Canis lupus familiaris: one gene and its partners. The protein of the gene in region 2 interacts with the protein of the main gene of each other region in a pairwise test. Links are inferred from orthologs where the notes say so. Each region holds a gene or a part of one and is shown on either strand. Other genes may lie near its edges. The genes, in order: AKAP7, SPA17 and MYL6B.

Region 1 (3,649 bases), on a different chromosome or scaffold from region 2:
AATACCATATGACCCAGTAGTTCCCCTACTGGATATAAACCCAGAGAAATGAGAATAGGATTTTGACAAGCTATATGAACTCCCATGTTTATCACAGTATTATTCACAATAGCCAAAATATGAAAACAACCTAAATGCCCAACAATGGATGAATGGATAAGAAAGATGTGGTACATACACAAAATGGAATATTATTCAGCCATCAAAAAGGAGGATATCCTTCCACTTGCAACAACATGGATGGGCCCCAAGCACATTATTTGCTAAGCAAGGTAATTCACAGAAAAACAAGTACTGTATGATGCCACTTATAGATGGAATCTAATAAAGCTGTAAAAAACAATAAAATGGTGGTTCTCAGAAAATTGGTGGGTAGGAGAGTAAGATTAATAGTATTTTATGGTGTACAAACTTATACCTTATTTACTACTTGTAAATAAGCAATCAAGACCTAATTACAGTATAATGAATATAGACAAAAATATTATACTGTAATTATGTAATGTGATAAATATCATATTACAACACATAAAAATGCCAAAGTAAAACCTTGTACTCCTTAAATTTATACTATATATCTAATTTATTTTAAAAATAAAAATGAAATAAAATATTTTTAAATACACAAAAAGAATATTAACAATTAATTATATTAAAATCCTCAAAGAGATAAATGAAAGCATAGCATCCATGAAGCAAAGAACAGAAAAGGAAAATATGAAAAAGAATCAATGACAAATCTTGGAAATGAAGCATATAGTCATTGATGTTTTTAAAATAATAATAATAAGATGTCCTAAATGGCATAATTGAGACAGCTGAAAAGAAAATCCATGATTTGTAATCTAGTTCTCTACAAGAATGCACTATTAACAAATTAAGACATAGGAAATGATGCAAATCTAATGAATTCTCTCCCCAGAAAAATCCACTTATGTACCTACATAGAAAGTTTTATAAACAAAGTTTTATAGACAATTCTTAGAGTCTTTGAACCCAATTTCTACCCTAGAATTCTGAATGCAAAATATCTTAAAAATGGAAATCTGCCCCACTCTATTAATATAATACAATATTAATACAAGGAAATACTGGTTCAAGGTATAGAAAACAGATTTAAATTTAAGTTAGGATCAAATTAAAAAAACAAACAATTAAATCTGATCAAGAAATGAAACTCACAAAGAAAGTGTCCTGAATCTTCCTAAATATTGTTACAAAACTCAGGTAAGATTAAGATAGAGAAAATCAATAACTATCCCCAGCAAATAAAGGACTTCTAGTGTGTATTAAAGTTGGTTAATTATAACATAATAATTATCATTTCAGATGCAAATATGATTTTAAAGTTCATTTTGGCATCACAAAATGCGACTGAAAAAGTAGAGCATTTGTAATGGGCAAAAACCATTTTTTCAAATAATATTAAATGATCAGTATGGGGATACAAGATTGGTGGTGGAGTTTAAAAGAAGCTAAATTGCTCTGCATTAGAAAACATGAGAGATAAAGGAGCCTGAGGGGAAAATCTGGAGATATTGCCTAGAATAAGGGGAATTTTTAAGAGTAGGCTGAAAAGAGCAATAAAATAAAAAATCACTGTTTGATACATTGTGATTCAGGATGAGCTGAACAGAGCTGTCCTAAGGCAATGTAGGGGATACATGCTATGATACCAATCCCAGGATACCTTCAGGAAAATATACATACTGCTTGGGGGTTTTTTGTTTGTTCTTTATCCAAGAGTAGAAGAGTCAAGGAAGAACATTGAGTTCTCCTTCAACATTGGCCTAACCTATGTACACATGGACAGCTACCCAACATCTGTGTTACACAAGAAAGTCTTAAATTTGCCCTTTGCAATGAACCTAAACAGAAATGTCTGGTCCTCAACAAAACTTCGATGGAAGACAGCTCTCCAACCAAGATTCTGAAAACACAAAAATCTTCCTTAAAAGAGATGTGAAATGTTTCAGAATATAAACTCAAATGACATACTGAATATCTTCCGTTTAAGACAGCTAAGATCTTTGGAAGGTAAAGTGATGACTTCTCTGAAGAGAGCTCTACTGAGAATTTATATTAAAATTCAGGATGTGTATTTCCACAGGTTTTCTTGAAGCTGATGTGGAGAGACATTATCTTGATGAAGACCATGAAATGTTTAGATACAGGTATTTGTCTTCTTTGAGTATTGTCAAGTTACTTCAAAACCATACAATCAGATTGTCTTGATGTTCACAATTTTATTTTATTTTATTTTTTTACTTTTTTTTTTTGAAGTTCACCATCTTAGAAGAATGCTGCCTGGGTTTGAAATCGCACATTTGCATCACAACAGATCAGGTTCCTTTGAATACATTCAACACTGCACAATAGCCCTGTTCTGGTTAAAAAAAATCTCCGTTTGATGTAAACTTTCCACTCGGAAACATGATTGTGTATGACTCTGTCTCGGTCACAAGCCAACTCCCTGATAAGATGATAGAAGCATTCACGTATGAATCTTTGTTTCCCCACAAAATATGTTTCCTTTGGGGAGGAAATTGAAGGACAAGTTTTCAACCTTTGCAGGCCACCTAGACTTTATCTTCTCACAGTGAAACTTCTTGGCCTGGAATATTCTATTCCTAATTAAAAGCAGCAAACATGAAAATGCCTGGTGTGGGATGGGGTGTTCACATAGGCCTTCACTGAAGACAATGTTTTCTTCATATTCATGAAATAAAATTAAACTGGAATGAATTTTGAATCAACATTTCAAGACTTCATTATATATAAAACACAAAAACATAAAAACCATAGGTACTAAAATCTTGACCACAGTGAATAATAAATGTGTTCTATAAAATTTCAAATGTACTAATGCCAAAATATAATATTTCCAAAAATATGTCAGAGAAAAATACATACAACTAGCCCTAAATATCTGCCAAAAGAAATGATGCTAAAGAAATCAAAACTAAGATAATAAGTAATTTTTAAATGGCACTCACCAATCACAATTGAAGACTCACAGTGATAATAACCATTACTTTGTTTTTTCTTTAGCATGGAGCAAAGATCTATGCGATGTACCATTTCTTCTCCAAATGTATGACTGATAAATTTTTCATAGAATTTGGGGTCGATTTTTTTCACTCCCTTGAAATGATAAAACAAAATCACATCACTCAATCATTCCACCGAGGCAGCTAGTTCATATTTATATCACTGTCTTAGAATGTGACATACTTTGGTATCTAGTTCTGCCTAGAGGCATTTGAAAACGGATACCCCAAAATGGTTGAATCTGTTTTTAAAGTCTCCCTCTCTAGGATGAGTTGTATTATTAAAAAAAAAAAAATCATCAAAGAGTATTGGGTTTAAATTTGGTGGCATTCAGAACCTTATATGCTTTAAGCTTCTGAAATAATGAGGTATATCAAGTTGAAATTTGAGGTATCAAAAAAAAAGAGTAATCATCAACAATGGAGAAATGGATGAATTTTTAAAAAGTGATATAGATCTTAATATTTTATAATGTATAAAATGTTTTAATAAGATGTATGCAATTTTGAAACTCCTGACATAAGAGTCATTTGAAGACGGTTAATGATTATTTGAATTGGAGGAGGGGCAGTGCATCTCCCAAGTCCTTCTCTATCTG
Region 2 (3,649 bases):
TGTAGTATTGGCCATGATCTTCATACTCCTACCATGGCTGATTTTTGGTAAAGTAGACATTACTGATCATGGGTTGTATAGAGATGTGCACAGTTGTCTCTTGAGAGCTGGCTCTAGCACACTACTGAAAATAGGTATCTTTGAAGGTGGACCCTACTCAGGTCAGGTCTTTACTGCTTAGATGTAGGCTATCAGGCAGGAAGTCATTTTTTTAAAAGATTTTATTTATTTATTCATGAGAGACAGACACAGAGAGACAGAGACAGAGAGAGAGGCAGAGACACAGGCAGAGGGAGAGGCAGGCTCCATGCGGGGAGCCCGATGTGGGACTTGATCCCAGGACTCCAGGATCACGCCCTGGGCCAAAGGCAGGCGCTAAACCGCTGAGCCACCCAGGGATCCCCAGGAAGTTATTTTGTAGACAGCAGTGCATGGAAGGTGAGTAAGACCTTTACACATTGCGGAAAGCCATTCTGTTTGGTGGTATGTGATTCTCTGCGAGTTTCCTTTTGTCATCTCTGACCCTTGCCACTGTGTGGTGGTGAGAGCATCGATTAGTGAAAAATTCTCAGAGTGGAAAGTGAATCTGAAGGATGAAGACTGAGATTCTCCCACCTATTGCCAATCTTGGAAAATAAGATTTTATTTTTAAGGGCAAGAAGGAGTTTTCCTTCATAATAGGCATAGTTACAAATGATCTACCAGTGAGTTTATCACTGATGCCAGTTATCTAGAGAGCAAAGTGATTATTTTAGCAATATGGATAATAGACTAGATTCATATTTGGAGTATAATTTTAATTTGAGGGATATGATTCTTTTTAGGAATCTAATAATATATGGAAAATATAACTTACAAAGGCTGTGACTGGTGTCTCATCCTCTTTCACAGATGGGGGAGATTTTTCTTTTTCTGACTCACAATTCTCAGGTGATTCTTGCTCCTGGAAGAGGGGTGAGAGGGTCAAACAGGCAATATTCCAAAACAGTAAAGTCTTGCATCAAACTGCTGAAAGTCACTAAATATTTCTGTATGTTATTGAGAAGTAGTAGGAATTAAGTACATGCTGATTAAAAAAAAAAAAGAAACTAGGTTGGAAAAAAAAGAAATAAATTAAAACTCTCAAGGGAATATGCATAAACAAATATGACCAAACAATTGGTGAAAAATGTTTGACATTTTTGCTTTTGGAATGTGTGCAGCATTGTTTTTATATGAAAACAAAGCTATTGTCTTATACTAAAGTTGTTAAGATGCTGTAATGAATCTTGAACAAAGTGTAAAAAAGAAGTGCTGCTAGTTTTTAAAATAAGAACAAAATATGTGCCATTGTGCCCCATGATGTGAGATCAAGTGGACTTTTTAATGAAGTTTGAAGGTTAAAAATCATATCAAAGAAGTAAATTGTGCTATGGGGAGCCATTTAAATAAAAAAAAAAGGGATATCAGCTATGCCTATTTTGACATGGTTATTGAAAACTTTCACCAAAATAGAGGCATTGCTAATTCACAACCTATGAGAAGAGTTTCTTGAATCCATAAAACAGAAATTTGAAGACATATAAGCTAATTAAGTAAAGCCTTTAGAATTCAAAAGAGATGGAAAAAAACACCCTAAAATTGCTATGTGACACAAAGACTTAAAGCTTTTTGACACTATTCTTTTGATTGAAATAAAACATGAACACAGAGAATTAAGTTAAGTGGAAACAAACTCAACACTCCCATTATCTGGCAGGCACAAATGGATGGAACTTCACTTTTGAACTCATGGAAAAAGTGACAGGTATTTCCCCTGGAAATTCCCCAGTTCTACTGCGGAACACCATCAAAACCTGAACTTGGTTAATTCCTTTTAATTCTAATATCTGGCGGAGATTTGTGGCTAATGTATTATCTCAGTTGTCTAGAAGAGTGCTTCTCAGACACCAATGTACCTACAAATTACTTTGGGGAGCTTGTTAAAGTTCAGTTTCTGACTTGGCAGATCTCGAGTAGAGCCTGAGACAGAATTTCCATCAAGTTCCCAGTTAGTTGATGCCAATCACAAAGGGTCACACATAGCCCTTATCATCCAGTGTTCCTCTTCTGGACCACAGAACACAGAATGTTTTGAGGGACTATTCTATCAAGGATGGTACATAACTAGAATCATCCTGGATACAAAGGAAAGACATTGATTCTTTACATGCAATGAGTGCCTTTGGCTTAGGGCTTAATTATTTTGGGGAACCTTGGTTGAGAAAGGCTGGTTCAGAGAATGTTGCTAAAGAGAAGGCAGGTTCAGTCTTTGAACACATTAGTTTTGTAGAAGAAACTCCACCATGATGTCAATGATGATGAAACAACTAGATAAATGGTGTTTTATTTTATGAAATGTCATTTGTTAATTCAACAAATATTTATTGAGGATCCGCTATTGCTAACCATCGTGATACCCAATACAATTTGAAGAATAAATTATAGTAGTTATTCTGTAACTTTTCAAGTACATTCTTTCTGTTGATCACCTTTCAATTTCAGCTAAATATCTGTTCACAATTCAGATACTTTATTTTTTTTCACAATTCAGATACTTTAGAAAAAAAATTCTCGTCAGAAAGAACAGCACAACTAAAAAGGTTTAATAAGATATATATGCCTTTCATGATCGTGATTCTGGGGAGATTCTGCTATTATCTGTTTTGGAGACAAGGAGAAGAAATAACCAAATCCACGAGTTTCATAGGACCATACCTTGAATGCATGGTTGTTATAGAAGCGGTCGTCTACCTTAGCCCCCCATTCTGCTGGATCAAAGTTGGTTTCTAAATAATAAAAATATAATAATTTCAGACTTATTTTGAGTTCATTAAAGTAAATCCAGATTAGTAACACAAGATCTTTTTTTCAAACTACAGGGCTTTTTTTTTTTTTAAAGATTTTATTTTTTTATTTATTCATAGAGACAGAGAGAGGCAGAGACACAGGCAGAGGGAGAAGCAGGCATCATACAGAGAGCCTGACGTAGGACTCGATCCAGGGTCTCCAAGATCACGCCCTGGGCTGCAGGCAGCGCTAAACCGCTGAGCCACCGAGGCTGCCCAAGCTGGAAGTTCTTTATTGCTAGTTGAAAATCTTACTATGGGGACACCTGGGTGGCTCAGTGGTTGAGTGTCTGCCTGTGGCTCAGGGCGTGATCTTGGAGTCCTGGGATCGAGTTCCATATATGGCTCCCTGCAGGGAGCCTGCTTCTCCCTCTGCCTATGTCTCTGTCTCTGTTTCTGTGTCTCTCTTGAATAAATAAAATCTTAAAAAAAGGAAAATCTTATTATGTACATAGCTTAACACTGTAAACATAACCAGTGATAACAATATATGATGCTCCTCCTCCTGCTTGTGCTCTCTCTCTGTCAAATAAATAAAATCTTTAAAAAAATAAAAATGAAGCATATTATGTAGTCAGTAAACAAAGACAGGAAGAAATATTTATATTTAAGCAGATTTTTTGAACTTTTCATTATGAACAATTTCTTTTTTTTTTTTAAAAGATTTCATTCATCTGACAGAGCCAGAGAGTACAAATTAGGGGAGTGGCAGAGGGAGAGGGAGAAGCAGGCTTCCAGCTTCCTGCTGAGCAGGGAGCCAATGACATGGAGCCCAATCCCAG
Region 3 (4,386 bases), on a different chromosome or scaffold from region 2:
ATCACATCCCCACACTGACCATACAGGATCTTGCCGTCCCCTACTCGATCAAACAGCTCAAAGGCCTCCTTGAACTCTGAAGTACAAGGAGAGGTCAGTGTTGAGACCAGGGGTTCCCATCACCACCCCCCCACTCCACCCCTGACAGAAAGGAGGTTCAGAAACTCCGAACTAGAGCTAGGCAGAACAGAGGACACAGAGCACTAGGAGGAAGGTTCCAAGGTTGGGACTAGACGGTGGCGCTATCCAAGGTTGGGCTAGGGGAACAGAAAGAGGATCTGACCAGGGGCTTGGGGCTAGACGGTGCGGCTTAAGGGACCAGCTTCTCCTCACCCTCCAGCTGGTCCTTGTTAAACTCGATCTGTGGAAGAAAAGAGCAGGTGAGGAGAGATGACAGGGCTCACTGAATCTCTCTCCAGCACTCCTCCCAACCAACTGGCAGCCACTTCTGGGGAGGGGCCCAAAGAGACCAGGCTGGGAGCCCAGCCACCTCAGTCCCATTCCCAGCTCTGGACCTTGGGAGAATCCCAAGAGGAGGAATTATGGGGGGGAGGGTTTCCTGGGAACAGGGTTAATCCCATGCCACCTGTTCCCCTCCCTCCAGTGCCCTGAGCTCTGCATCCCTCACATAACTGGGGGCTGAACAAAGGCTAAATTTACCCCTGGCCCCCAGCTGTGATTGTCTAACAAGTCTGTCCTCCTCAGCCTTCCCTCCTGGGGTTCAGAGTTGTGGCTTTTAGAACCGAACAGTCAGCCAGGCACAGGCACCAGCTCCCTCTCTTCACCTTGAAACTGTCCTCAGAACCCAGATGTTCCCCATCTCCCAGGTCCCTGCCGCCAGCAGAGGGGTCAGTGAGAATGTGTGTATGTACCCACACATATAGTATAGGTTAGAGGGAGAGAATAAAAAAGAACAGCAGTCATAAGCCTGGATGCTTCCAAATAGGGGACCAAGAGGGATCTCCAGTATCCGTGCAGTGCTCACCGAGTCCCTATCTTTTAGATACCCCTAACCACCTCGGCTGTTTCCCACCCTGTACCATCCCTTACAAATTCTTCCTCAGTCTCCCAAGACTCACCACCACTTTGGAGAGATCGATGGGGGGCTCCTGGGTTTTCTGAGGAGCTGGAGGGACAGCTGGAGCTGGCTCAGCCTTGGGCTTGGCAGGAGGGGCCCCTGCTGCTGGTTTGGCAGCAGGCTTGGAAATAGAGGGTCCCGCTGGTTTCTTCATAGGAACATCCTTCTTGGGAGGCATGATGTCCGGTGGCCAAAGGACAGTGTGCCGATGGGGGCACCCATCTCTGTTTAAATAGCCAGGGAGTCTGGGATGTCAAGGGGCGGGGGCAGGGGCAGGGAGCCAGTTGGCGGTGAGGAGGGTGAGATAGAGGAGAGATATGCCGGCCTGCCCTGGACTCCTATGGTTCAGGACTCCTGCCCCAAGGTCTTCTCTCTTCTGTTCACTAAGCCCCAAATGCTAGCCAGAACAATGGCCCCTTTGGGGGCAGGGGAAGGAAGCCAGAGACTGCCCAGAATGAGGGAGTTAACCTCCGGGGTAAGGATAGGATGCTTGCCAGTGACAGACACTGACACAGGGGTGAAGCAAAGAAGGGGACCCAGGCATTCCAGGCCTCGACCCCCCTCCCACACACACAGAGTAGCCCTTTTGTTTTAGCAGCTTTAGACCCTTAAAGGCTGAGGCAGGGAGGGGGCCCTTGTGAACTGGGATTGTTAGAGTGGGGTCTGGGAGGGGCACCTGGCTGGCTCAGTCAGTAGGGCATGTGACTCCTCATCTTGGAATTGTGGATTTGGGCCCCACACTGGGTGTGCAGACTACTTGAAAATAAAATCTTAAAAAAAAAAAAAAAAAAAAGTGGGGTCCAGGAGCAGTTTAAGATGAAAAAACCAAGCAGCTCTTCTACTCCCCTCTGACTATAGTTGAGGAGCAGGGGCAGTTGACCCCACAGCCTTTAATCCCCAAATCTTACAGTCACTGCCACCGTCTCCCAGCCCAGAACTGGAATTGTGCCAGTATAGATAAAGAACAGTAACATAAAGGAGTGTGATCACACACACACACACACACACACACACCCCATGATCTCCTGTTCCCAATATGGTTTTAAGGGTAAGGGTGGGAACAAGGATCAGGTTTAACACCCACCACCCACACACCAAGGAAGGAACCCTTTTCCACAGGCCCCATGGTCCATCAAGTCAAAGGAAGGTAGGGAGCCTGCGGAGCCTGCAGGGACTCTGTGGTGCACCTGAGAGGAAGGGCAGGCCCTGGGAGGCCAGGAGCCTAAATCCTAAAATCTCTAATCCAAAAGGATGTGGGAGGTCCTATGGGTTCCAAAGGTACTTACCCACCAAGCAGAGAATGGTAACAACCCTGGCCCTGGCGCCAGGTTCCAAACCTTGCTGGGGGCACCGGGTAGGGTCTAAGTCGGAGGTGGCGGGGAGAGGGGAAGGGGTTGCGGCTACTTTTGTTCTTGGGATAAGAAAGGAAAAGATTTAGGCAGCATTCTGAGGAAGAGTAATGATTCCACTTAGACCCTGGGGTTCAGAGATTTGATGATTCGTCTCTCACTTGCAAAAATGCGTCTGAATCTCATTACTGAACACTGTCCCATTTTAGAAAAATCGGAATCGTTCCAGCCTCCCAGAACTCATCTCACTCACACACACGCACATGCACACGCACGCACCCACACCTCAAATCAAGCTTAAATAAAGGAAAGAGTCCCTCCCCAGCTCCCCAAAACTCACCCTGCGGGGTCCAGGTGAGGGCGGAGGCGGGGCTGGGAGGCCGCGGGCCCCGAAGGGTTAACGCCAGCGGCCTCGGAGCATGCCGGGAGTCGTAGTCCTCGCGCGCCCGCGGCCTCACGGGAAGGCCGCTGGCAGCTGGGAGACCTCGCCCGAGCGGCGGCTTCCGGCAGGTGGCGGCGGCGGTGACTCAGGCCGTTTGGGCGCCCTCCGCCTCCCGGAGCTGAGCGGCGGTGACCGCTCTACAGCCCCCCCCCCGCCCCGGCGCCAGAGCCGCGCGGGCCCGGGCATCTGCGACGCTGAGCGGGGGCTCCCGGGGGGCGGGGGAGCGGGCGCCGCCGAGGGGCCGTGTGACTTGGAACAGCAACTCCACCGAATTCTCCTTTCTTTTCTTTTTTCTTTTTTTTCGGTAATGAGCTGCTGGTAGTTGAAGTAAATGTTAAGATTTGGGATTAGGCCTTGGCCACCTGCCCCGGCTCCTCCCACTGTGCAAGTTTCTCCATCCCGCGGCGCGGGGCCTCGGCTCTGCCTGGAACCGCGGGGCTGCGCCGCCCAGCGCCTCGGGCCTCACGCCTCCGTCCGCGCTGGTCATCTCCTTCCCGAGACGCCCCGCAGCCCTCCGGGGCTGGGGCTGCGGGGGCTCGCGGGGCTCGCGGCTGACAGGCCGAGGGTCAGAGGAGGGGGCGGGCGGTGGGGGTGTGCAAGCCGCTCGGAAGAGTAGGGACGGTTGCCTACAGCCTAACAGGAGGTGGAGGAGGAGGTCAGCCGCTCTCCGCGGAGGCCTTCACCAAGCCCTTTCCGCTTGGGCTGGATTACCTCCGAGGAGCAGCCGAGGGGGAGCTGAAGAGAAGGGTCCCGCCGCGCCCCGCGCCCCAGAGAAAACATGAAGACTCTTGGCAAACAGACTGGCAAACCCCTCATTTTTGCATTATTCTTGTCTTCTAATCTGGGAGCCCAACTTGGGACCCTGACAGCATGACCTAACACTTAATCGACTGAGCCACCCAAGCACCCCATAAAGAAGGTCAGGCATGGCTCCGTCTTTAAGGAACGGGAAACTGAGACTCCCAGAGTCTCTGCTGCTTCTTTCTTTCTTTTTTTTTTTTATTTATTTATGATAGTCACAGAGAGAGAGAGAGAGAGGCAGAGACACAGGCAGAGGGAGAAGCAGGCTCCATGCCGGGAGCCCGATGTGGGATTCGATCCCGGGTCTCCAGGATCGCGCCCTGGGCCAAAGGCAGGCGCCAAACCGCTGCGCCACCCAGGGATCCCGAGTCTCTGCTTCTTTTGCCAGTGTGATCTAGAGTATGGGAGCAGAGTCAAGGTTCAAATGTAAATCTAAAAAATAAAAAGCGAATCTAACTCTAAAGTCCTTGTTTTGTGTTTATTTTTTATTTTTTTTTAATTTTATTTTTTTAATTTATGATAGTCACACAGAGAGAGAGAGGCAGAGACACAGGCAGAGGGACAAGCAGGCTCCATGCACCGGGAGCCCGATGTGGGATTCGATCCCCGGTCTCCAGGATCGCGCCCTGGGGCCAAAGGCAGGAGCCAAACCGCTGCGCCACCTAGGGATCCCTATTTTTTATTTTTTTAAGTAGGCTTCATGCCTAGGGCAGAGC

What was found.
Region 1: the proteins of SPA17 (region 2) and AKAP7 interact in a two-hybrid assay, tested with the Homo sapiens proteins (3 studies listed by BioGRID and IntAct). The two-hybrid records come from large-scale screens. The link is inferred for Canis lupus familiaris from reciprocal best matches to the Homo sapiens genes SPA17 and AKAP7.
Region 3: the proteins of SPA17 (region 2) and MYL6B interact in binary tests that used the Homo sapiens proteins (3 or more experiments, as listed by UniProt). The two-hybrid records come from large-scale screens. The link is inferred for Canis lupus familiaris from reciprocal best matches to the Homo sapiens genes SPA17 and MYL6B.

Annotation. Positions count from the first base shown.
Region 1 is NC_049222.1:70,001,545-70,005,193, reverse strand, and holds part of AKAP7 (A-kinase anchoring protein 7), read right to left. Parts: intron 3,145-3,649; coding exon 2,997-3,144; intron 2,710-2,996; coding exon of another isoform or gene 2,495-2,709; exon of another isoform or gene 2,232-2,494; intron 331-2,231; coding exon of another isoform or gene 278-330; exon of another isoform or gene 1-277. UniProt on the Homo sapiens protein: Probably targets cAMP-dependent protein kinase (PKA) to the cellular membrane or cytoskeletal structures.
Region 2 is NC_049226.1:9,740,225-9,743,873, forward strand, and holds part of SPA17 (sperm surface protein Sp17), read right to left. Parts: intron 2,808-3,649; coding exon 2,737-2,807; intron 944-2,736; coding exon 857-943; intron 1-856. UniProt on the Homo sapiens protein: Sperm surface zona pellucida binding protein. Helps to bind spermatozoa to the zona pellucida with high affinity. Might function in binding zona pellucida and carbohydrates.
Region 3 is NC_049231.1:824,195-828,580, reverse strand, and holds the start of MYL6B (myosin light chain 6B), read right to left. Parts: upstream 2,926-4,386; 5' UTR 2,768-2,925; intron 2,553-2,767; exon of another isoform or gene 2,365-2,552; intron 1,303-2,364; 5' UTR 1,257-1,302; coding exon 1,080-1,256; intron 362-1,079; coding exon 334-361; intron 77-333; coding exon 1-76. UniProt on the Homo sapiens protein: Regulatory light chain of myosin. Does not bind calcium.